3 linked regions of the Saccharomyces cerevisiae S288C genome follow. The protein of the gene in region 1 interacts with the protein of each later gene in a biochemical or structural test. Each region holds a gene or a part of one and is shown in the gene's direction. Other genes may lie near its edges.

Region 1 (7,068 bases):
CCCACCTTCATTAAATACTCATTTTATTTTTATTTTTCAATTCATAATATCATCACTCTTCTCTCTTCCTAAGTAACTACGTTTTTACATAGATATAATGATATGTGTAAAGAAACTATAAAATAACAAAAAAAAATCATAATATTACTGCATCTATCCTTCACCATGCACCACCGCTATTTATGCTCTCCAATTCATGCTCGTTAATAGGTTTGTACCGAAACCTAGCAGGTAGCTCGAAAATGGAAGCAAGCTCATCTTTTTGCAATGGCCTGTTAACGAATACAGAGGTCTTTGACGAGCTGAGACCAGCATTAGCGCTATGCTTTATTGGCACTACACGGAATGGTTTATAATTTTCCATGAATTTACTCACTGGAATACACTCTTTGCTGCCAGGTAACATTCCGTTGGTAGCGCAAGGATGAACAACGACCTCAGTTGCATGCTTCACTAAGGGATGCCTTGTACCGACGAATTTTATCATCGGCTCATATGCACTCTTTGCTAATCTTATAGGTGTAGCAATCATTTCCCTGTCTTCTTGTACTTTTATCTTACTCTTATTATCGGTTAAAAACCTGGGGAAGTACTCCTTAATGGTTTGCTTTAAAGAATTCAATGCGGCTAGAAATGAAAAAGACTTTTAAGATCACTGAAACACTGCAATCTGGCTAAAATATTAGTCTTCACTATCGTCTTTTTCTCCTTTGTTGATGCGAAAGATGAATTTACATATTCGAGTCCCTTAGTCATATTATTGTACTTTTAATGCAATCTTGAGGGGAGCCAATCAACGAGTGGTTTTACTTGCACGTGACCAAGAATGGTAATAACGGTGAAATATATGACTAAAAACCTTGATAACTAAATATATCATTAATTTATTTTTAATGCCGTCTAGAAGGGTGTATGAATATCTATGTAGAAGTATGACGATGAATAATTACATAACGAACGAAAATCTCTGTTAATGAAAATATAACTCCAAATAAAATGACAAGAATAAACCACCATGTAACACGAGCCATGTTTCTTTCAGCAACAGAGTCAACGCATATATCAAAGAATTCCAAGAAAACTTTGCAACGATCATTTAATACTTGTACTCTTTGGTCAATTTCTAAATACTCCCTCATTGCCACGTACAGTGGATGCAAACTTGGTTCGAACGACCAAAAAAACTCGGGTGTATCCAATATGGTGGATGAAAGGTTAACATCCACTCTCAATTTAAAGAGCTTCCCTGATTTTTTCAAAAGCTGTTCCCTTTTTAACCCAAGGGTACCATATAATGCTAGTCTTTTAGGTAGTTTTGTGACTGATATTAAAATCGGCGAAATTCTGGATTCAAACCTTGATAATTTCGAAGATTGCGCAATCGCATGTGATAGTGTCAGCTCGATAATGTGGTCACCTGAACGTAATGTGACAATATCATTGAAAATTCTCGGTCTCTCGGTATCTCTGTCATATTCGAAATGGAATTGTTCAGTTTCAATATCTTGTTCATCCAGCGGCCGGATCATTAAATTCTTATAATCTGCAAATGTTATATCACCAAGAATATTTTTCTCTTGAATTTCAGTAAAGTTCCAAAAAACAATAACGCCATAGTGAAAAATGAAAATTTCTGCATGTCTATCATTGCCTTCATGGTCGTTGTCCCTATGCATTTTATATACACGATCAAAATCATTCTGTGATGAAGATGGTGGCGATGGCGTAGATATTGATGATGGCGAAGCTGGTGAACGAGAGGACTGTACATACTGATCGTTTCCCTCAACAGCATAAAGTTTACTCTTATCATTATTTTTATTATTATTATCGTTGCCACAACTTGCATCACTGTCGTTTTCCTCCTTCTTCAGCATGTTTATTCTTTCTGTCCTTTCCCGTTTCTCTATCTCTAAGGGAGTTTCTTCCGCAAAAAATTGTGGTTCCATAGGATTAAAAGAGTCTTGCTGACCAACTGGATTTGGTAGATGATCGGGAACTGTTGTGGTGTCTTGATTAGCGTTATTGTTATTTCCACTGGTTTCTAGTTCGTAATTATTATTTGCATCTTCCACAGTTTCCACACCTGAGTAATATTCATAATGATGATCTCTCTGTTCGCTTGTATCAATTAAATTATCAATTAATGTCTTTCCACCCATTGTTTTCTTAGATAAATTTGATTTGATTCTAAAACCGCCTTTACCTGGTAGAAGTGGCAAAGTATACGCAACGTATAGACACTCATCATACAATCTTGGTGAAACCTCATGAGTTTCCTGCAGAAACTTATACAATTGGTTGAGATTGAAGCCATCAGCAACATTATATGCGGTGATTCTTGCCATGGACTTTTCTTTTGAGTATCGAGGTAGCCGATCGAAGGAATTAGACTTCATAGAGCCCACTTTCGGTCTTTGCCTATCCAGCGCGTTCGTTGGTAGAGTTTGAAAGTGGTTCAAGTTGTCGTCTTCCGGTATCAACACTAACTTTTGTGACGTCTTCGATGTTCTTGGAGGCAGGGGATTGATCATCTTTCTACGCGAACTTAACCGCTCATATTGGCGAGGCCTATCGCTTGAAGAGCTGGATAGCCTTTCCTCTCTTCTGGCAGAGGGAATATCTGAATTATCAGAAAGAATATTATCTATGGATATATCGCTAAACCTGCCAGACGATCGCCTTCTTGGATGAGTAAAACTCTGCAGCGGAGAAGGGCCAATAGCGGAAGAGCGAACTCCTTGAGACTTCGTAACTCCTGCGTTTTCCATATTCTTCCTACTACCAGCAGCGTGTCCAGCGAACGGTGCACTCATTCTATTCTTGGATGTTCTTGCATCTGTCACCAGGATGGAAGGTGACCTTTTCGGCATCTCCCCAGGAGATGGTTGGTTAGCCTTATAACTCATACTGTCGTCTTAAATGGAAGTCCTTTCCTTTGCTCCATATGCAATTTTGCATACGAACTTCCGATTGATATAATCTTGTATTAATGTATGCCTAACCTGGTTTTGTTTTTCTTGTAGGTTTTTCTAGCCAGTTTTACTATAAATTGTCACTTTTTCCTAGTAGTCAATTTGAAAAAAAAAAAAATATATGGGTAATTATAATAACAAGAAGTGTTCTTCTGATTGTCGGAGATGCCTCTAATGCCAATGCACAGGCTTCCATAAAGTTTTCAAGCATGACAGAAAGCTAACTTGTCTTTTACTTCTTTGTTGGGCACACTTCTCATTTTTAAAAAAAAGATTTCCACCTTCACGATCATATCTGAAATGAACTGAATATTTTGTTCTTGTGAGAATAAACTTGTCTACTAATCGCAAATTTTTCAAGATTAACCTTCCGCACCCATTGAGGTACTAAACTGATCTACCCTACCTTTCCTAAATACCTAATGTCAGGTACATAATGCCAGCGACAGCTCAAAATCACGGGATACTAATTATTAAATAGTAGTAGCTTCTTCTCCACGCACAGTTCGATCGAAGGAGCTAATATTCGGCTTGTCATCTTCCATGGCCAGTAATTTTTTTTATTGTCATTTGGGACTAATGAGATGGAAACTAGAATTGTAGTTATACATCCTGAGGTTTCTATCAACTTGTGTGTCACAACGTTTTATATACTTGAATGCGTAGTAGCAAACCCCGGCAAGACGTAAGTTAACTTGTCAAAGGTACAAGCTTGGTTACAAACAATGTGATATTTCGCTCCAGGATATTTTTGCTTTTGGTGACGCCGGTTGGTTGAAGAGCCCCCATTTATCATGACTCCTACCGCAGTTTTCGTATATCTTGGGCCATAAATTCGAAAATTAAAGACACCACTTAATAACGCAACAAAAAGAACGCAATCCTCAGAAAGAACACACACCAAAAAAAAAAAATGCCTGTTTATGAACACTTATTGCCCGTTAATGGAGCATGGAGACAAGACGTCACCAATTGGCTGAGCGAGGACGTTCCTTCTTTTGATTTTGGTGGATATGTTGTTGGTTCCGACCTAAAGGAGGCCAATTTGTACTGTAAGCAGGATGGTATGCTGTGTGGTGTCCCCTTTGCGCAAGAAGTCTTTAATCAGTGCGAATTGCAAGTTGAGTGGTTGTTTAAGGAAGGCTCCTTCTTGGAGCCTTCGAAGAATGACTCTGGTAAGATTGTTGTAGCTAAAATTACTGGGCCCGCTAAAAACATTCTATTAGCTGAAAGAACCGCCTTGAACATCCTTAGTAGAAGTAGTGGAATTGCCACCGCCTCACATAAGATAATCAGTTTGGCGCGTTCGACTGGTTACAAGGGGACCATTGCGGGGACAAGAAAGACTACACCAGGTTTACGTAGATTAGAAAAGTATTCCATGCTTGTAGGTGGCTGCGACACGCACAGATACGACCTTTCCTCTATGGTCATGCTCAAAGATAATCATATTTGGGCTACTGGTTCTATAACAAACGCAGTTAAGAACGCCAGGGCCGTGTGCGGGTTTGCTGTGAAGATCGAAGTGGAGTGTTTGAGTGAAGATGAAGCCACAGAGGCCATTGAAGCTGGTGCAGACGTTATCATGTTGGATAATTTCAAAGGTGACGGTTTGAAAATGTGCGCCCAAAGTCTTAAGAACAAATGGAATGGTAAAAAGCATTTCCTCTTGGAATGTAGTGGAGGCTTGAATTTGGACAACCTCGAGGAGTATTTGTGCGATGACATTGACATTTACAGCACTAGTAGCATTCATCAAGGCACACCAGTGATTGATTTCTCATTGAAACTGGCTCATTGAAAATGCTTAGGCTTCGATTTTTACTTTTTTTTATTTACATATTCTAAATAAGATTAAGAAGCTACGCGTTACCGATTAATGACACACACGACGATTAGTAACGAAATAAGAAATGAATAATGAGCACTCCCAGGAAGGCCGCCGGTAACAACGAGAATACAGAAGTCTCAGAGATCAGAACCCCCTTTCGGGAGAGAGCCCTTGAAGAACAACGTCTCAAGGATGAGGTACTGATCAGAAATACGCCAGGTTATAGAAAACTTTTATCTGCTTCTACTAAGTCTCATGACATCCTCAATAAAGATCCGAACGAAGTACGAAGTTTTTTACAAGACTTAAGCCAAGTGTTAGCACGCAAATCACAAGGCAACGATACAACTACTAATAAAACTCAAGCACGGAATCTAATAGATGAATTAGCGTACGAAGAGAGCCAACCAGAGGAGAATGAGCTTCTTCGGAGCAGAAGTGAGAAACTGACAGATAACAACATTGGCAATGAAACGCAACCTGATTATACTTCCTTATCGCAAACAGTATTTGCAAAATTGCAGGAAAGAGACAAAGGCTTGAAAAGTAGGAAGATTGACCCGATAATAATACAAGATGTTCCCACGACAGGACACGAGGATGAATTGACAGTGCACTCTCCAGATAAAGCTAACAGTATCTCTATGGAAGTTTTGCGCACGTCGCCAAGCATTGGAATGGATCAGGTAGATGAACCGCCAGTACGTGATCCGGTACCAATTTCCATAACGCAACAGGAAGAACCACTATCTGAAGATTTACCAAGCGACGATAAAGAGGAGACAGAAGAAGCAGAAAACGAAGATTATTCGTTTGAAAACACCAGTGACGAAAATTTGGATGATATAGGCAACGATCCTATCCGTTTAAATGTCCCTGCGGTGAGACGTTCTTCTATAAAACCGCTGCAAATAATGGATCTAAAACATCTTACAAGGCAATTTTTGAATGAGAATAGGATAATATTGCCGAAACAAACGTGGTCTACTATACAGGAGGAATCTTTAAATATAATGGATTTCTTGAAACAAAAAATCGGCACGTTACAAAAACAGGAATTGGTAGATTCGTTTATCGATATGGGTATTATCAATAACGTTGATGATATGTTTGAGCTCGCGCACGAATTGCTTCCCTTAGAACTTCAATCAAGAATTGAAAGTTATTTGTTCTAAAAAAGATACCGTAGAGAAAATAATTAAATAGTGGCAATTTATGTACAGAAAAGAGTAAAAGATCCACAAAATTATCAAGACCTGGAAGAGAAGCCTAGTAACAAACTAACCTGTTCATAAACAGTGAACGTTAAGCCTCCTGAAATACCGACTTTCATAAACCTAAAGATGGAGCCCTTCCAGAATGTGGCCATGCCTTCTTGAACAAATATTCTATACATGCAATTTAAGGTATTTTTATATTCAGTTTTGGCATTTTGACTCATCATCCTTGTTTTTACGACGTCAATGGGCTGAGTCATTGCCACGAGTGTAAAAGATGTGGCTAACCCCGTTATTACTGAGGATGCCTTGTCGTTTCTTGCTTGTAACAACCGTTTAAATGCTGTGTATGCAGTAAATTGAATAGAGGTGTTAGCTATCTGCCTAAATATGGTGGCTGTTGTTCCCTGGACGAACGCAGCAGGGCCTCTTGTTTGATACATGTGTTTTACCGCTGGAAGTAGTTTCTCGATACGAGCCACAGGAGTAGATTTAGTCGCCACCTTGTGAAAGGTTGCCTTTGCGTTAACTACAGGTTGATTCTTCTCTAATTTTTTATGATCGATCATCGCCGATTGGATAAGGGTGGTTTTTATGTTTTCAAAAGGGATAATAAACAAACTTTCTACTATTCCTGTCAACGTACCAGCGATCAAAAGGTTATAACCAGTCAGTCTTTGAAAATTATCATTATTATCAATGTTATTATTCAGGGAGTGGCATAACTTGTCGAACGTAACGAACCTTAAAATAGTCTTACCAAATGCGGCCACGTTTAGGGCAGAGCAGCCAACAAAGTACGACTTAATCTGAGGTAAAATGATTTCGAAAGCGGTACCCTTCGGTTGCAATTGTAAACCAGTCTTTAAGTACTCAAATGGGTATGTCATTGTCGTTTGAAACACAGCAGCTACACTGCCGGCAGTGATTTGCTTGTAAAGGTCAGAGTTCTGCAAACGAGAAAAAAGAGAGCGTTAATAAAATAGCATTAGCGTCTTGGAACGAAACAGTTTACTACTTACCTGGTTAGCCATGTCGGGTGCTG
Region 2 (7,468 bases), on another chromosome or scaffold:
TCGCTTTCCAAATCATGCATGATTTTTCTTTCTCTTGCCTGCAGTGCTCGTTTCACCGCTCGCGTACTCGTCCATTCTTTGTCAGCGAAGAGGCTCTAACAGTGGAGAGCACATCTGGCAAGTAAAATGATAGGTTGCGCAAGGGGGTAGGGGAATGACTAATAAAGCATTACTACCATCATACCAAGTTCCCATTCATGTACACATAGTCTCTTTAATTGCCTTCTTGAATGGAGGCCAGTAGATATTTGGAGAAGCTTTTCTTGCAGTTCGGGTAATATCGAACGGCGTACATCTATAAGGGGAAAAGCTACTTCCGCTTCTCATATATCTATTTTGCAGTGTGACTCTTCCTGGCTTGCTAAGTATTGTACCTGTTATGGGGCAAGCAAGATTTCTCATTGAAAAAAGATATAATACTTATTTGCAGCCAATAGTGACGGATTCTAGTGTTCTTCTTTTCCATAAGTTGATTACGCTATTCACCCAAACTGACTCTTTAGTGCGCTAATAAGCTGAGAGGATTTGAGAGGGAAAAAAAGAGAGAAGGACAGAAAAGAGCAGCCTGAAATTCATAGCATAATGGTTAAGGAAACTCCATTACACTCATCTTCATCAACTTCGCTGTCTTCATTATTTAGGCCAACTAAGTTGAAGAATTTATCGGCTAAAATATTCAATGGAGGTGGTAACCAATCATACTCAAAGACAGATGATGTTTCAAGGTCTTCTTCTAGATCTTCAAAAAAGAATACAGATTCTGACCAAGAGGATCAAATAAAGTATAACAAACCCAACGACCGAAGATCTACCATAGGAAAGAGCCCCCAGGGAAATGGCGCGTTGTCAAAGGAGTCACACGTAGTAGCAAGTTCTACTTTGACAGGTATTTCTCCTACTTCAGCTAAAAAAGCTCCTATTGACTACTCTCCTTCACGGCCCTTACCTAACAATCATAATCCCGTTCGTACGGGACACACTGTGCCCCACTTACCCCATAGTATTCACAATCCAATAAACTACATTCATCAAGGCTCAAAAGATGCTTTCCACCATCCTCACCCCGTTCGCTCTACAGCTCATAGCAACATTTCTACAGTGTCTTCTGCAAAATCTGATACACCCTCTTCGAATTTATCATACCAGGCACATATGCATCCCGTAGAGATACTACAGAAACAGATTGAAGACAAACACTTCATGGACTCTCAAGCCTCCACCCCTGGGTCCGTGGAACTACAGCATAATTCTTCAAGCGGTAGTGATGATACCTCATCAAGAAAGAAAAAATCCTTGAGATTAACAAGATTTTTCAAAAAAATTCATAATGATTATCACGATAACCATCATCATCACCACCATCACAACCGTGGATCCACCCCTACAAAACCGAAGCTCAATTTGAACACCAATGAAAATATAGTAGAAAGTAACGGAAAAGCGTTATACGAAACAGATAACCCAGTGGAGCTATTAGAAAAATATGGTATTCCTGGTAGAAAATTAGGCGAAGGAGCTTCCGGTTCAGTGTCCGTAGTAGAAAGAACAGACGGCAAGTTATTTGCTTGCAAAATGTTCAGAAAACCACACTTAAACAATGAAGGAACTAATCAGTCTCAATTAGCTAATTATTCTAAGAAGGTTACCACTGAATTTTGTATTGGTTCCACGCTGCACCACGAAAATATCGTTGAAACCCTAGATATGTTGACTGAAGGTGACACCTATTTATTAGTAATGGAGTATGCGCCATATGATTTTTTTAATCTCGTCATGAGTAACCTAATGACACAAGATGAAGTCAACTGTTACTTCAAGCAGCTGTGCCACGGCGTTAATTACCTGCACTCTATGGGCTTAGCTCATAGGGATTTAAAATTGGACAATTGTGTCGTCACTAAAGATGGCATCTTGAAACTGATTGACTTTGGGAGCGCTGTAGTGTTCCAATACCCTTACGAAGATACCATTGTAAAATCACATGGAATCGTGGGTTCTGACCCTTATTTGGCTCCTGAGTTATTGAAACAAACATCCTACGATCCAAGAGTAGCAGATGTGTGGTCTATCGCTATTATATTTTACTGTATGGTCCTTAAAAGATTTCCTTGGAAGGCTCCAAAAAAGAGCTTCAACTCATTTAGGTTATTTACTGAGGAACCTGAGGACGAAGATGATATAGTTCGGGGGCCAAATAAAATATTAAGGCTACTGCCAAGACATTCACGGACAATAATAGGCAGAATGTTGGCTTTAGAACCAAAGCAAAGAGTTTTAATGAATGACGTGGTAAAGGATGATTGGCTTGTATCCGTCCCCTCCTGTGAAGTTGACCCTACATCTGGCGATTTGGTTGAAAAACCAAAGAATCATAAGCATCACTTGGTCACTGAGGAGGAGTTGAATGAGCTGACCAAGCAACACGGGAATAAAGATTCAAATTAATGAAATAAACACTTTTTAAAAGATAAAACCTAAAAAATTGTATATAGAAGATTCAAAGTACTATAAAAGGCATTATATAGGAATAAAAGATGGTGTGCATACAGGTGAAAAAGAAAACTAGTTAAATCTGGAAAAAAAAAACGCTCATATATATACAAAAACATAAATACATTCGTCAAAACAAAAAGCGCTTAAATAAATAAAAGCATTTTTTAGATAATCTCAACGGGCGCCAAATTGAAGTCACCCGACGCATAAAATTGTGAACACGCCCTATTAGATTTTACAAAGAGGAAGTCTCCTCCCCTATAAACTGCAAAGAATAATTGAAAAGTGATTTAGCGCAGATAAATAAGACCACCATAACCACATATGAGTAGGAAAAAATGTTCAAAGTTCCAGTGGGATTAGCCAGTAGGACAAGGGAGCTTATGAACAGCGTTACGCTCAATAGTCTCAATAATGGAAAGGGTTTCAATATGTACTTGCCAGGAATATTAAGGGCTTTTCCTAAACCAGTGCCTTCGGCGATTACATCTCCCGCAATTCCAAAATATCGAGGAGAAAGTTTCCAGTTTCGTAAGCTTTCATGCATTTCTTCTAATTATTGTTCTACCACTCACCAATTTCTATCCAGTCTGAAAAGCTCGACATCCAGGTTGGTTGGTAAAAGAGCCTTCCATTCGTCACGACGTGCAGAAATAAAGTTTATATTTTCTTCGAAGTCACCAAAGAACGGTAACAAGCCGTTTGTGAAAGTATATAAAGTCTCCCCATTTTTTATCATATTTGCAACTGCAAGTATCTTCACATTCATTCTAACATCAACGATAGTCGTTATTCCCTTAATTTTTCACTTTTTTTTTCCCCTTCTTATTATGTTCTTTTTTTTTAAACAATTCAAAAAATGGCAGAAAAATATCTTTTACAAAGATGTCTTGACCTCCTTACCGAAAACAAAATTGAAAATAACATTACCCACCATGAGATCATTACAATTACAACCTATGGTTCAGAGTTGGAAAGAGATATCTTCCAGGATGGGAATTCCAAACGAGTTTGCCAAAGGTTTGAATGTTGATTTAGTAAAGCAAGAAGAAACCAGAAAGCAGTTTCTAAGTTTCCTGCAGAAAAGAGTGTTGGAGTCCTTCACCAAGAACGAACTGGGAATAAGATCCTACTTTTTAGGAGACAGCGTCGAGAAATGGATCAAAGAATCCTATGACTTGGAACTCGATATTGATAATTGCCGAAGTGAACTCAGAAAATTCCAAACTTTCATATTTTCCAGTGTTCGATACAAGTTGTATTTAGACTCAATGAAAAATTTACCGCTAAACCCTTCAAAAAAACTCGAGGGCAAGAAGCATATTGCAGACGTATATGTCATTATTTTAGACGAATCCTTTCCTGCAATAATGTTCAATGGCGGAGCTTATTCGAAGGCTGATTTTTTCAAGATATTACAAGAAAGTGAAACCTCTAACAGCAGCAAAACCCTTAACACAATTATTGCCATCAAAAGTGTAAATACGCTACTATCAAAACACTTTGTTATCACAACAAATGGTGATTCTGGAGAATTCTTTTCAAAATATAACATTTCAAAAATAAACGACAAAAACACTGAATACACCCTAAAAGAGTAAAGAACATTAAAGTTTTTGTTTGAGCATTACTGTGATGCCACAATTTATATATCATACATGTTTATATATTCTGACCAATACCTTTATTTATGGTGTGCAGTGACACAAAATAATTTTTGGTGTCACTTCCATCGTATTAAATGATAATATCAATTAGAAATAGTAAACAAAACCAAAAAAAAACTACCAAGGGTTGCAAAGAGTAATAGTGATGTTTATGTGAAGGCAAGCTTAAAGAGAATTTAAGATCTACTATATTAATAGTAACCTACAAAATTTATAGAAGCCTACTTGACCCAGCCCACTGAAGTCTGAATAGGAATATTGCAGTTGTTTATAGAAGTAGCTTTACAACCAAAATAATAAATTGTTTCTGCAAGAACTGGATGATCTCAAAACAAACATGTCAACAAACTCATTCCATGATTATGTGGATTTAAAATCGAGAACTAATACACGACAGTTTTCAGATGACGAAGAGTTCACTACGCCTCCAAAACTAAGCAATTTCGGATCAGCTTTACTTTCCCACACAGAAAAAACTTCAGCATCAGAGATATTATCAAGTCATAATAATGACAAGATCGCAAATCGATTAGAAGAAATGGACAGGAGTTCATCAAGGAGTCACCCCCCACCGTCAATGGGCAATTTGACATCCGGTCATACTAGTACCTCATCGCATTCAACCTTGTTCGGACGATATCTGAGAAATAATCACCAGACTAGCATGACGACGATGAACACTAGTGACATAGAGATAAATGTTGGAAATAGTCTTGATAAGAGTTTTGAAAGGATAAGGAATTTGCGACAAAATATGAAAGAAGATATTACGGCAAAGTATGCTGAAAGGAGAAGTAAGAGATTTTTAATATCCAATAGGACAACGAAGCTGGGTCCTGCAAAGAGAGCGATGACTTTGACAAATATCTTTGATGAGGATGTGCCTAACTCTCCAAACCAGCCAATAAATGCAAGGGAGACAGTGGAATTACCACTTGAGGATTCTCACCAAACAAACTTTAAAGAAACGAAGAGAAATACGGATTATGATTCAATTGATTTTGGAGATTTGAATCCTATCCAGTATATTAAAAAACATAATCTTCCCACAAGTGACCTTCCACTAATATCTCAAATCTACTTTGATAAACAAAGAGAAGAAAATAGACAAGCAGCACTCCGAAAACATAGTTCCAGAGAATTGCTTTATAAAAGTAGGTCTTCTTCCTCTTCACTTTCTAGTAACAACTTATTGGCAAACAAGGACAATTCTATAACATCCAATAATGGTTCTCAACCCAGGCGAAAAGTTTCTACTGGATCATCTTCATCTAAGTCATCGATCGAAATAAGAAGAGCTCTCAAGGAGAATATTGATACTAGCAATAACAGCAATTTCAACAGCCCAATTCATAAAATTTATAAAGGAATTTCCAGAAATAAAGATTCCGACTCCGAAAAAAGAGAAGTACTGCGAAACATAAGCATAAATGCAAATCACGCTGATAATCTCCTTCAACAAGAGAATAAGAGACTAAAACGATCATTGGATGATGCAATAACGAATGAGAATATAAACAGTAAAAATCTAGAAGTATTTTACCATCGACCTGCTCCCAAACCTCCAGTCACCAAGAAAGTTGAAATTGTTGAACCTGCAAAGTCCGCTTCTTTATCGAATAATAGAAATATAATTACAGTAAATGACTCCCAGTACGAAAAAATAGAACTTTTGGGTAGAGGTGGATCCTCCAGAGTTTACAAGGTGAAAGGATCTGGCAATAGGGTATACGCGCTCAAAAGGGTGTCTTTTGACGCTTTTGACGATTCAAGTATTGATGGATTCAAAGGAGAAATAGAACTTCTGGAAAAATTGAAAGACCAAAAGCGTGTAATCCAACTACTAGATTATGAAATGGGGGATGGTTTATTGTATTTGATAATGGAATGTGGTGATCATGATTTGTCACAAATCCTTAACCAAAGAAGCGGCATGCCACTGGATTTTAATTTTGTTAGATTCTATACAAAGGAAATGTTGCTGTGCATTAAAGTAGTTCATGATGCGGGCATAGTTCATTCGGATTTAAAACCTGCAAATTTTGTTTTAGTGAAAGGTATCTTAAAAATCATTGATTTTGGTATAGCAAACGCGGTACCGGAACATACGGTGAATATATATCGTGAAACTCAAATTGGGACTCCAAATTATATGGCACCAGAAGCACTAGTTGCTATGAATTACACACAAAATAGTGAGAACCAACATGAGGGAAACAAGTGGAAAGTGGGGAGACCATCTGATATGTGGTCATGCGGTTGTATTATATATCAGATGATTTACGGGAAACCCCCATATGGCAGTTTCCAAGGCCAAAATAGGCTGTTGGCTATTATGAATCCTGATGTGAAAATCCCATTTCCTGAACATACTAGCAATAATGAAAAGATTCCAAAGTCTGCCATTGAATTAATGAAAGCATGTCTGTACAGGAACCCAGACAAAAGATGGACTGTGGATAAAGTCCTGAGTAGCACTTTCCTTCAACCTTTTATGATATCCGGATCGATTATGGAAGACCTTATTAGGAATGCCGTTAGATATGGCTCTGAGAAGCCTCATATATCACAAGATGATCTCAATGATGTGGTAGACACTGTTTTAAGGAAATTTGCAGATTACAAAATTTAGAAGAGCCGCATAAGGAAGAAAAGCATGTGCCAGTTATGAACATAAATACATTTAGAGTTTGCCATGCATGTACTGATTTATTTACTTTGATCAACTCTTTTTTACATATTTATATATATTCATTTAAATAAATCATCAATCAATTTTTCGACACAGACACTGAATACTTGAAATACCAAGAAAAGGATAACTATCCTCTAACGGCGCTCAGTGAAATATTATATTTTGATTGCTTGTTCAACAATTGTGCCTTATTAACTTATTACATTTATATATAAGTTTATATTATTCCATTTCCATTTTTCATTCGTAGATTTAAACTTTTTTATTAATTCTTTTGGATCAATAAAGTTCAAATCTATCTTGGACCAAATTTAGTCATTGCAGATGGCCCGCTTTCTTGCCATTCTTGCTTAGACAACCACATGTGGTCTTTATCAGCCATGATACTAGCTAAAACGGCACCACCAATGAAAACCATATGCTTTCTCCTTGGAGGATCTTCAATTCTAACTTTGAATTTATCAAGTCTTGAAGGGTCATTGTGTAAAACTCTACTAAACCATAATTGTTTCAATTCTTTCTCTAATCTCGAAGGCAGCCCTGGGTACATACTTGAACCACCTGAAAGAACAATGGCCTTATACAGGGAACTTCTGATATCAACATCAGCCGA
Region 3 (7,232 bases), on another chromosome or scaffold:
GAAGGATCTGGTTCGAGTATAACTACCACTATTACAGCCACCAAAAATGGACATGTCTACACAAAGACCGTCACCCAGGACGCTACTTTCGTATGGACTGGTGAGGGTGAACGCGCTCCTGCCTCCACCGTTGCAACTTCTAGTATTTCTGCTATTGAAATTCCCTCCACTACTGAGGCCTCTATTGTGGAGGCTTCTTCTGCTGTTGAGACTTCCTCTGCTGCTGAGACTTCCTCTGCTGTTGAGACTTCCTCTGCTGTTGAGACTTCCTCTGCTGTTGAGACTTCTTCTGCTGCTGAGACTTCCTCTGCTGCTGAGACTTCCTCTGCCGTTGAGACTTCCTCTGCTGTTGAGATTTCTTCTGCTGTTGAGACTTCTGCTGTTGAGACTTCTTCTTCTTCCTCTACTATCGAGACCACTTCTGTTAAAAGCTTATCTCCTACTCAGACTTCTCTTTCATCTTCTGTCCAGGCTTCTTCTCCTATTGAGACTTCTTCTGCTGCAAAAACCTCTTCTGTTGTGCCAACTTTTTCTTCTACTACTACTGAAAATTCCTCTAATTCTAAATCCACGTCTGCAGTTGTAGCATCTACTACCACCTCCTCTGAGTCAAGCGCTACTATTGTTACTCCTACTAGAATTGGGCAAGCTTACACAGAGAGTTCTTCTAGGGATGCCCAATCTGTTCGTACCCATGAAAGTAACAATTGGTCATCAAGTTCTTCTGCAAGCACAAAAATGGTATCCTCTATTACAAGAGTTCAAACCACTACCGCTGGTATTTTCACTAACGGTAAGTCGTCCACAACTCCTCAAATCGTGAATTACACGGGTGCGGCTGATTCTATCGCCGCTGGTACGGGTCTGATGGGCGCTGCGCTCGCTGCCGTTATCTTTTTGTAATTTCTGCTAACGACAGATGCGCAGAATCAACCTTTCTGATCTCTCCGTGGTCTTACTTTTCAAAATGGCATTGTGAATTAAGTATTTCATCATAGTTGATAAAGCTTATGTCCGCAATGTTATTTGTCTGCGTGACACTGGCTGTCTATAAGAATGTACCAGTATGTAATATTATATCAAGAAAATATCAGGTGTTGATTAAAATAATCTAAAAACAATGTCTATTTCACTTGTTAAATATGACTTTTCAAAAATAACCATTTTATTTATTTCTTGCTTTTTAAAAGGTGAGAGTGGGTATTTGTTTTATCTGACGCCAAGGAAAATAAAAGTTAAAAAATGACATGATGATTTTATAGTTCAAAACAAGAAATGAACTTTCGTGTTTGTGATCAGATTCAAATGGAGTATAATACTGAAAGAAGGTCGAGAAAGACAAGCAAGCAAATTCACAACTTCATTGAGCGCATTTTATTGAAATTACCTGTAGCAATGAGTAGTTCAGTTTGTCATATAATTATGTTTTTGTGAGAAATTTTAGCTTTTGGTACTGTGCCAGTTATCCGAATTTAAAAAAAAAAGTTATATATGGCTGTAATAATTTAGGTCAGAGAGAAGAAAACACGAAGTTTACTACGTGTATTAAAAATAGAACATTAAACATGCACCAAATGCTTTAATGAACACTTTCGGAAGAATAAGCCCATAAAAAAATCACGACGTACCGTTGCGACAGATAGGATCGTTCTTTCTAGGAGATTTTTTAGCTGCTACGGAATAAAAGAAATAATGCTGACTAATACGCAGGATATCCATGGGAGGCGGCTTTTTGTTCTGACGGATCCATAAATCCCGTAAAGAAATCTGGGCGAATGTATACAGAGAATTAACGTTACTCATTCCTAGCCTGAAAATCAAAAAGCTTGGCATAAGGGGCATGTACATAGTCTTCATGAAAGAAATGGAAAATTTTTTCAAGGGATGGCTTCACGGTTCCATTATTGCTTCCGGTTTCCGTTACCCTTTAAATCAGATATATAAACAGCCATAAGGAGAACCATTCATTTCTTTATCATCCGCTAAATTTTATTAACGGCATTTTTAAGTACTTCCCACTGGCTAATTACACAGATAAAACTCAAACAAATTTATAATGGCCCCAAAAAAAGTTTTACTCGCTCTTACCTCATATAACGATGTATTCTACAGTGACGGCGCCAAGACCGGTGTTTTTGTTGTAGAAGCCTTACATCCCTTCAACACATTCCGAAAAGAAGGTTTTGAAGTCGATTTTGTATCTGAAACCGGAAAATTTGGTTGGGATGAGCATTCCTTAGCCAAAGATTTTCTAAATGGTCAAGACGAAACGGATTTTAAAAATAAAGACTCAGATTTCAACAAGACATTGGCTAAAATTAAGACACCAAAAGAGGTGAATGCCGATGATTACCAAATTTTTTTTGCATCTGCAGGCCACGGTACCTTATTTGACTATCCTAAGGCTAAAGACTTGCAGGACATTGCTTCCGAAATTTATGCTAACGGTGGTGTTGTCGCAGCTGTTTGTCACGGTCCTGCTATTTTTGATGGGTTAACAGACAAAAAAACAGGAAGACCATTGATCGAAGGTAAATCTATCACCGGTTTTACTGATGTTGGTGAAACCATTTTGGGTGTTGATAGTATTTTGAAAGCCAAGAATTTGGCAACCGTTGAAGATGTTGCTAAAAAATATGGCGCTAAGTATTTAGCTCCGGTTGGGCCCTGGGATGATTACTCTATTACTGACGGAAGACTGGTAACAGGTGTGAATCCTGCTTCTGCGCACTCCACTGCCGTAAGATCCATCGACGCTTTAAAAAACTGAGCCAAAGGTTGATAATTAGAATTTCCTTTGTACTACTATATAGATGTAAGGAACTTTAGGAGGCGTTATTGAGTACGAGGGATGTACCTCATTGTTAATACGTTGAAATATTTGGATATTGGGGAAACACATGTCTGAGATGGGTCTTCCAATAACCAAAGTTTATAATCTTTATCTTTTATCTGCTTTAGCTAGAGGTTAATAGTGAAGACTACATTTGGTCTCCAACAAGGTGCTACAATTTATTTTTCAGCCACTCCGTTGCACAGCATTTATCTAGCCAACGTTAATATCAATGAGAATGGAGAAGAAAGCATTAGCGTCGTTACGCTGCAAATCATCTATGCAATATGTAAAACTATACATAAAACTTTCTAAATTTTTTTTTTTTCATTTTGGTATTTCTGTCAGCTGCCGATGCTTCCTAAAGGGTTTATTCATGTGGGACATTGTAGGTGTGTTTCAGTTATCTAATGGTTATTTGCATCTTAGTGAGCTGTTCCTTGCGGTTTCTTGCTAAATGATCACGAAAAATGTTTTTTTCTCAGGTTAATTATGGCAGAATGTCGACACGAATTGGTCATATTGAAAATATTTAGTAATGCCCATCAATTAAATTGAACGTTATATCATCCGGATAAACAATATCTTCCAGATTAAAAAGGAAAAATAATTTAGGGCATACGTATTAGGTTATTCAACCAGAAATTAGCATTTGGCTGTCTTTAATGCCATCGCTTGGGAACTAGGCAGTTAAATATAAGCACATGTAAAAAAAGTGAAGATCGCGTAACTCATTATTTATAAACACAAGGAGAATGAGCAGCATCAAAAAAACTTCAACCAATAGAAAAAAACATATAGACTAGCTTTAAAACAAAATTAGTGAAGAAATGGATACAGGGAGTGCGAGCATAAAGGACTATGAGACCGTGTTAACGGATATTGAGGATTCTATTGCTGTGAGCAGCGAAGAAGTGCTAAATAACCAAGAACTAAGGCTCAAAAATACATTGCACGAAATTACTTCCAGCATTCTGGCAATAAATGAAGAGAACAAGTTTGTGAATCCTCTTAGGAACGATGAGAGCTTAGACGTAGAGGGAAAGGAGGTCTTTGTAAATCCAAAAATTCTGAGTGCAAAAATCAAGGAGTTCAATAAACTAATGGAGTTACTTAAGTTGACTTACTTGGAACAGGAGACATTGGACTATTTCTTCAGGTTTACTTTGTCCTCGACGAAACCTTTGCAGTTAGATTCCGAAAAAGACCCCCAATTTGTAAAACTTAATGAAAGAGTTAATGATTTAAAGGAAGAAATTTCGAATGTTCAAGAAAGCAAAATAGAACAAATCAAAGCTGAAATCCAAGAGACCGGTCACAACTTTGCAGAAAGGCAAGATTTAATAAATGAGTTGTATCTGGAAGCCACTGGTGATATTGAAAATTGTTGGGATTCGCTCAATGAACTAAAAAATTTAACAAACAAAGAAGATAAGAATATGATGGGAGAAAAAGATACGATATTAAATTCAAGTGATTCAGATGATTTTGTGGAAGAGACATACACGAATTGGCAAAAACTACTATTTTTGCAGAAGCAAAATCAAAGGTTAACGAAAGAGCTCAAGGAAATGCATGAAGTTAAAAATCAAATAATACGAAAAGGAGAGCAATCAAAAAAAGAGGATTCTGGACATTTAATGGCCAATGAATCAGAATTATGTCAGTCAATTAATTTGCTAACAAAATTTTGGGAAAAGCACTTTTTACTCAAAGGGTCAAAGACGACTATATTAAATTTTGAAATCTTTACCCAGCTTGGAAAAGTACAATTTGAAATAAAGGATATGCAATATATAATTGCCATATCTTTAAGCGATTTAAAAAGGCCAATGATAAAAGACATTACTATTTTACAAAAAGCGGGTGGCAATATAGTCACAGACATTGAAGCGAGCAGTAAATTTAACAATAAGTACAGAAATAATACTAAGGTGCAAATCTTTGAGGTAATGGATGACATTATAAGCGAGCTAACAAACGAATAAATTAATTATCTAGATAAAGATGTATGTAATATTACTAGCCAAAAAAAAAGTGAAATCTATCTACGTACTTGTTTTCTTAGTAGATGAATGACGAGACGCGCTTAGGAAAGCACCCATTGCACCCAAATAGCCTTCATGTTTGAGAAAAAACGCTTGCTTTGATCCTTGTGACCAAAAATTAATAGCGTAGCTCAAAGTGTTCATGGTAGTCAAATGTCCTCTGGTATAAGATCCGCCAAAGTATATATTCTGTATATTATTGATTTTAGCTTGCAAATAAGCTATTTGCCCAATATTGTTGGAGATGGCGAATAGAAGACTTTTACAAATATCAGGATTCTTAAACATTTGTCCATTGTTTTTCTCAATAGACTCATGTGAGGAATATAATTTATTTTCGTTGTTTTCCAAAGATTTGTTAGATGTCATTCTATTTTGGAAAACTTTACCAAATGAACTTGCAATAGCTGACGACTTTAGACCAATTTTATTATAGTCTGTTCCATAAATATCTCCAACTAGCATATCAACGCTAGAATTGTCACCCTCTTGTGCCCAATCGAGCATCTGATCATAAGTTTGAGCGCCAGTAATTAGTGATAATAGGCCCCAAAGAGTTCCTCCTCCCAGTGAAGAACCGCCTACTCTACTAAAATTGTTTGGTTCGGTGACTTTTAATATTGAGACACCCGACCCTATATTGACTAGAAGGTATGGGTAGATAGCCTTTGAGTCCATGGTGCCGGAACTGGTGGGTATTATCCTTTCGCCATCTTGATCGTTGTAAGTGAAAACTTCATCGGGAATCTCATGAATGAAAAAGTCTAAACCGTGAATTAAGCCTTCCATTTCTTCGAACCTCGATATACCTTTTATTTGAGGAAAATTTTCATACAACAAATCATAAAACTTGAAGGCGCCACCACCAGTGGCAATTATATGAGTCATTCTATAGCATCCATTGTTATGTTCTTTGATAATAGAATGCAGAAGTTCCATGAACTTGTCAATTTTCTCTGTTTCAATGGTGTAGAACATCAGCCTGTTACTGTGTATAGGCGAGAAGACTACTTTAGCCAGAGTGCCTCCTATATCAATAGCAAGGTTGAAAGTATTGTCGCCATAATCGCAATTGTAAGATATCTCTTGAGTAATTCGCGGCATTGCGATTCTTTTCGCATGCACTCAATTGGAACTATAAATTTCTTTATTCTGGTAGTTTTTTAGTTTTAATGATCAATCTGTTCAGAAACATAAGTTCTTTTTACTCATCGTTATGTTGGTGAAATAAAATTTCGGCCGATATTGGGGGAACTGCGCTAGTCGTTTAACGTCATGTAAGATTCCTAAGTGGAACAGTCAGAAGTAAAAAAAAAAAAATCGGTCCCGGCAATTACAAACTAAAGGAGCTCAATGCGTAGATCGCGGATAGTTCTCCGCATTTGAGTGAAACTTTTTGAGATACTGTCGTAAATACGCAATCATGAACGACCATATGAATAATACTCGATCATACCAACGTCACGTGTAAAGCTTTTGCCTGTTTCGAAAATGTGTTGAACTATTGAAATATAATAAAATTAAAAGGCAACCGAGCCCCTGGGTCAGAGAAAATAGGAAGACAAAGATGATTGAAGAGAATTTGAAACAGAAAATCCACGATAAGTTCGTTGCAGCCAAAAAGAATGGGCATCTGAAAGTAACGCATGCAGAATCCAAGAAGTTGAAAGATCCTCAAACGACGACACAATATTGGGTGACATTTGCTCCATCTTTGGCACTTAAGCCAGACGCTAACAAGAATAGCGATTCAAAGGCGGAGGACCCGTTCGCCAATCCCGACGAAGAACTAGTGGTGACTGAAGATCTAAATGGTGACGGAGAATATAAGCTGCTACTCAACAAATTTCCTGTGGTCCCTGAACATAGTCTCCTAGTGACAAGCGAGTTTAAAGACCAGAGATCTGCTTTGACGCCAAGTGACTTGATGACTGCTTATAATGTGCTCTGTTCTCTCCAAGGAGACAAGGACGATGATGTCACTTGTGAAAGGTATCTGGTCTTTTATAATTGTGGACCTCATAGCGGTTCCTCACAAGATCACAAACACTTGCAGATCATGCAAATGCCTGAAAAATTTATACCTTTTCAGGACGTATTGTGCAACGGAAAGGATCATTTCTTGCCCACCTTCAACGCAGAGCCATTACAAGATGATAAGGTTTCCTTTGCTCATTTCGTCTTGCCGCTGCCGGAATCGTCTGATCAAGTGGACGAAGATCTTCTTGCTATGTGTTACGTATCTTTGATGCAGAGAGCACTTACATTTTTCCAAGATTGGACCAATGAGTCTCCGGAGTTGACCAAGTCATACAATGTGCTACTGACCAAGAAATGGATCTGTGTAGTTC

What was found.
Region 2: of the proteins of CNN1 (region 1) and MPS1, one has a biochemical effect on the other in vitro, tested with the Saccharomyces cerevisiae proteins (2 studies listed by BioGRID).
Region 3: the proteins of CNN1 (region 1) and KRE28 interact in a test that uses a peptide from one of them, tested with the Saccharomyces cerevisiae proteins (one large-scale study listed by BioGRID).

Annotation. Positions count from the first base shown.
Region 1 is NC_001138.5:241,987-249,054, reverse strand, and holds CNN1 (centromere-binding protein CNN1), read left to right. Parts: upstream 1-4,895; coding exon 4,896-5,981; downstream 5,982-7,068. Other genes in the region: alpha-ketoglutarate dehydrogenase subunit KGD4, read right to left, coding at 161-532; RMD8 (Rmd8p), read right to left, coding at 921-2,909; BNA6 (nicotinate-nucleotide diphosphorylase (carboxylating)), read left to right, coding at 3,889-4,776; MRX20 (Mrx20p), read right to left, coding at 6,056-6,973, 7,046-7,057. UniProt on the Saccharomyces cerevisiae protein: Component of the kinetochore, a multiprotein complex that assembles on centromeric DNA and attaches chromosomes to spindle microtubules, mediating chromosome segregation and sister chromatid segregation during meiosis and mitosis.
Region 2 is NC_001136.10:400,321-407,788, reverse strand, and holds MPS1 (serine/threonine/tyrosine protein kinase MPS1), read left to right. Parts: upstream 1-4,497; coding exon 4,498-6,792; downstream 6,793-7,468. Other genes in the region: putative serine/threonine protein kinase RTK1, read left to right, coding at 583-2,445; MRX9 (Mrx9p), read left to right, coding at 2,832-4,094; ARP2 (actin-related protein 2), read right to left, coding at 7,151-7,468. UniProt on the Saccharomyces cerevisiae protein: Involved in mitotic spindle assembly checkpoint signaling, a process that delays anaphase until chromosomes are bioriented on the spindle, and in the repair of incorrect mitotic kinetochore-spindle microtubule attachments.
Region 3 is NC_001136.10:1,496,985-1,504,216, reverse strand, and holds KRE28 (Kre28p), read left to right. Parts: upstream 1-3,663; coding exon 3,664-4,821; downstream 4,822-7,232. Other genes in the region: FIT1 (Fit1p), read left to right, coding at 1-903; HSP31 (glutathione-independent methylglyoxalase), read left to right, coding at 2,057-2,770; CAB1 (pantothenate kinase), read right to left, coding at 4,882-5,985; APA2 (bifunctional AP-4-A phosphorylase/ADP sulfurylase), read left to right, coding at 6,449-7,232.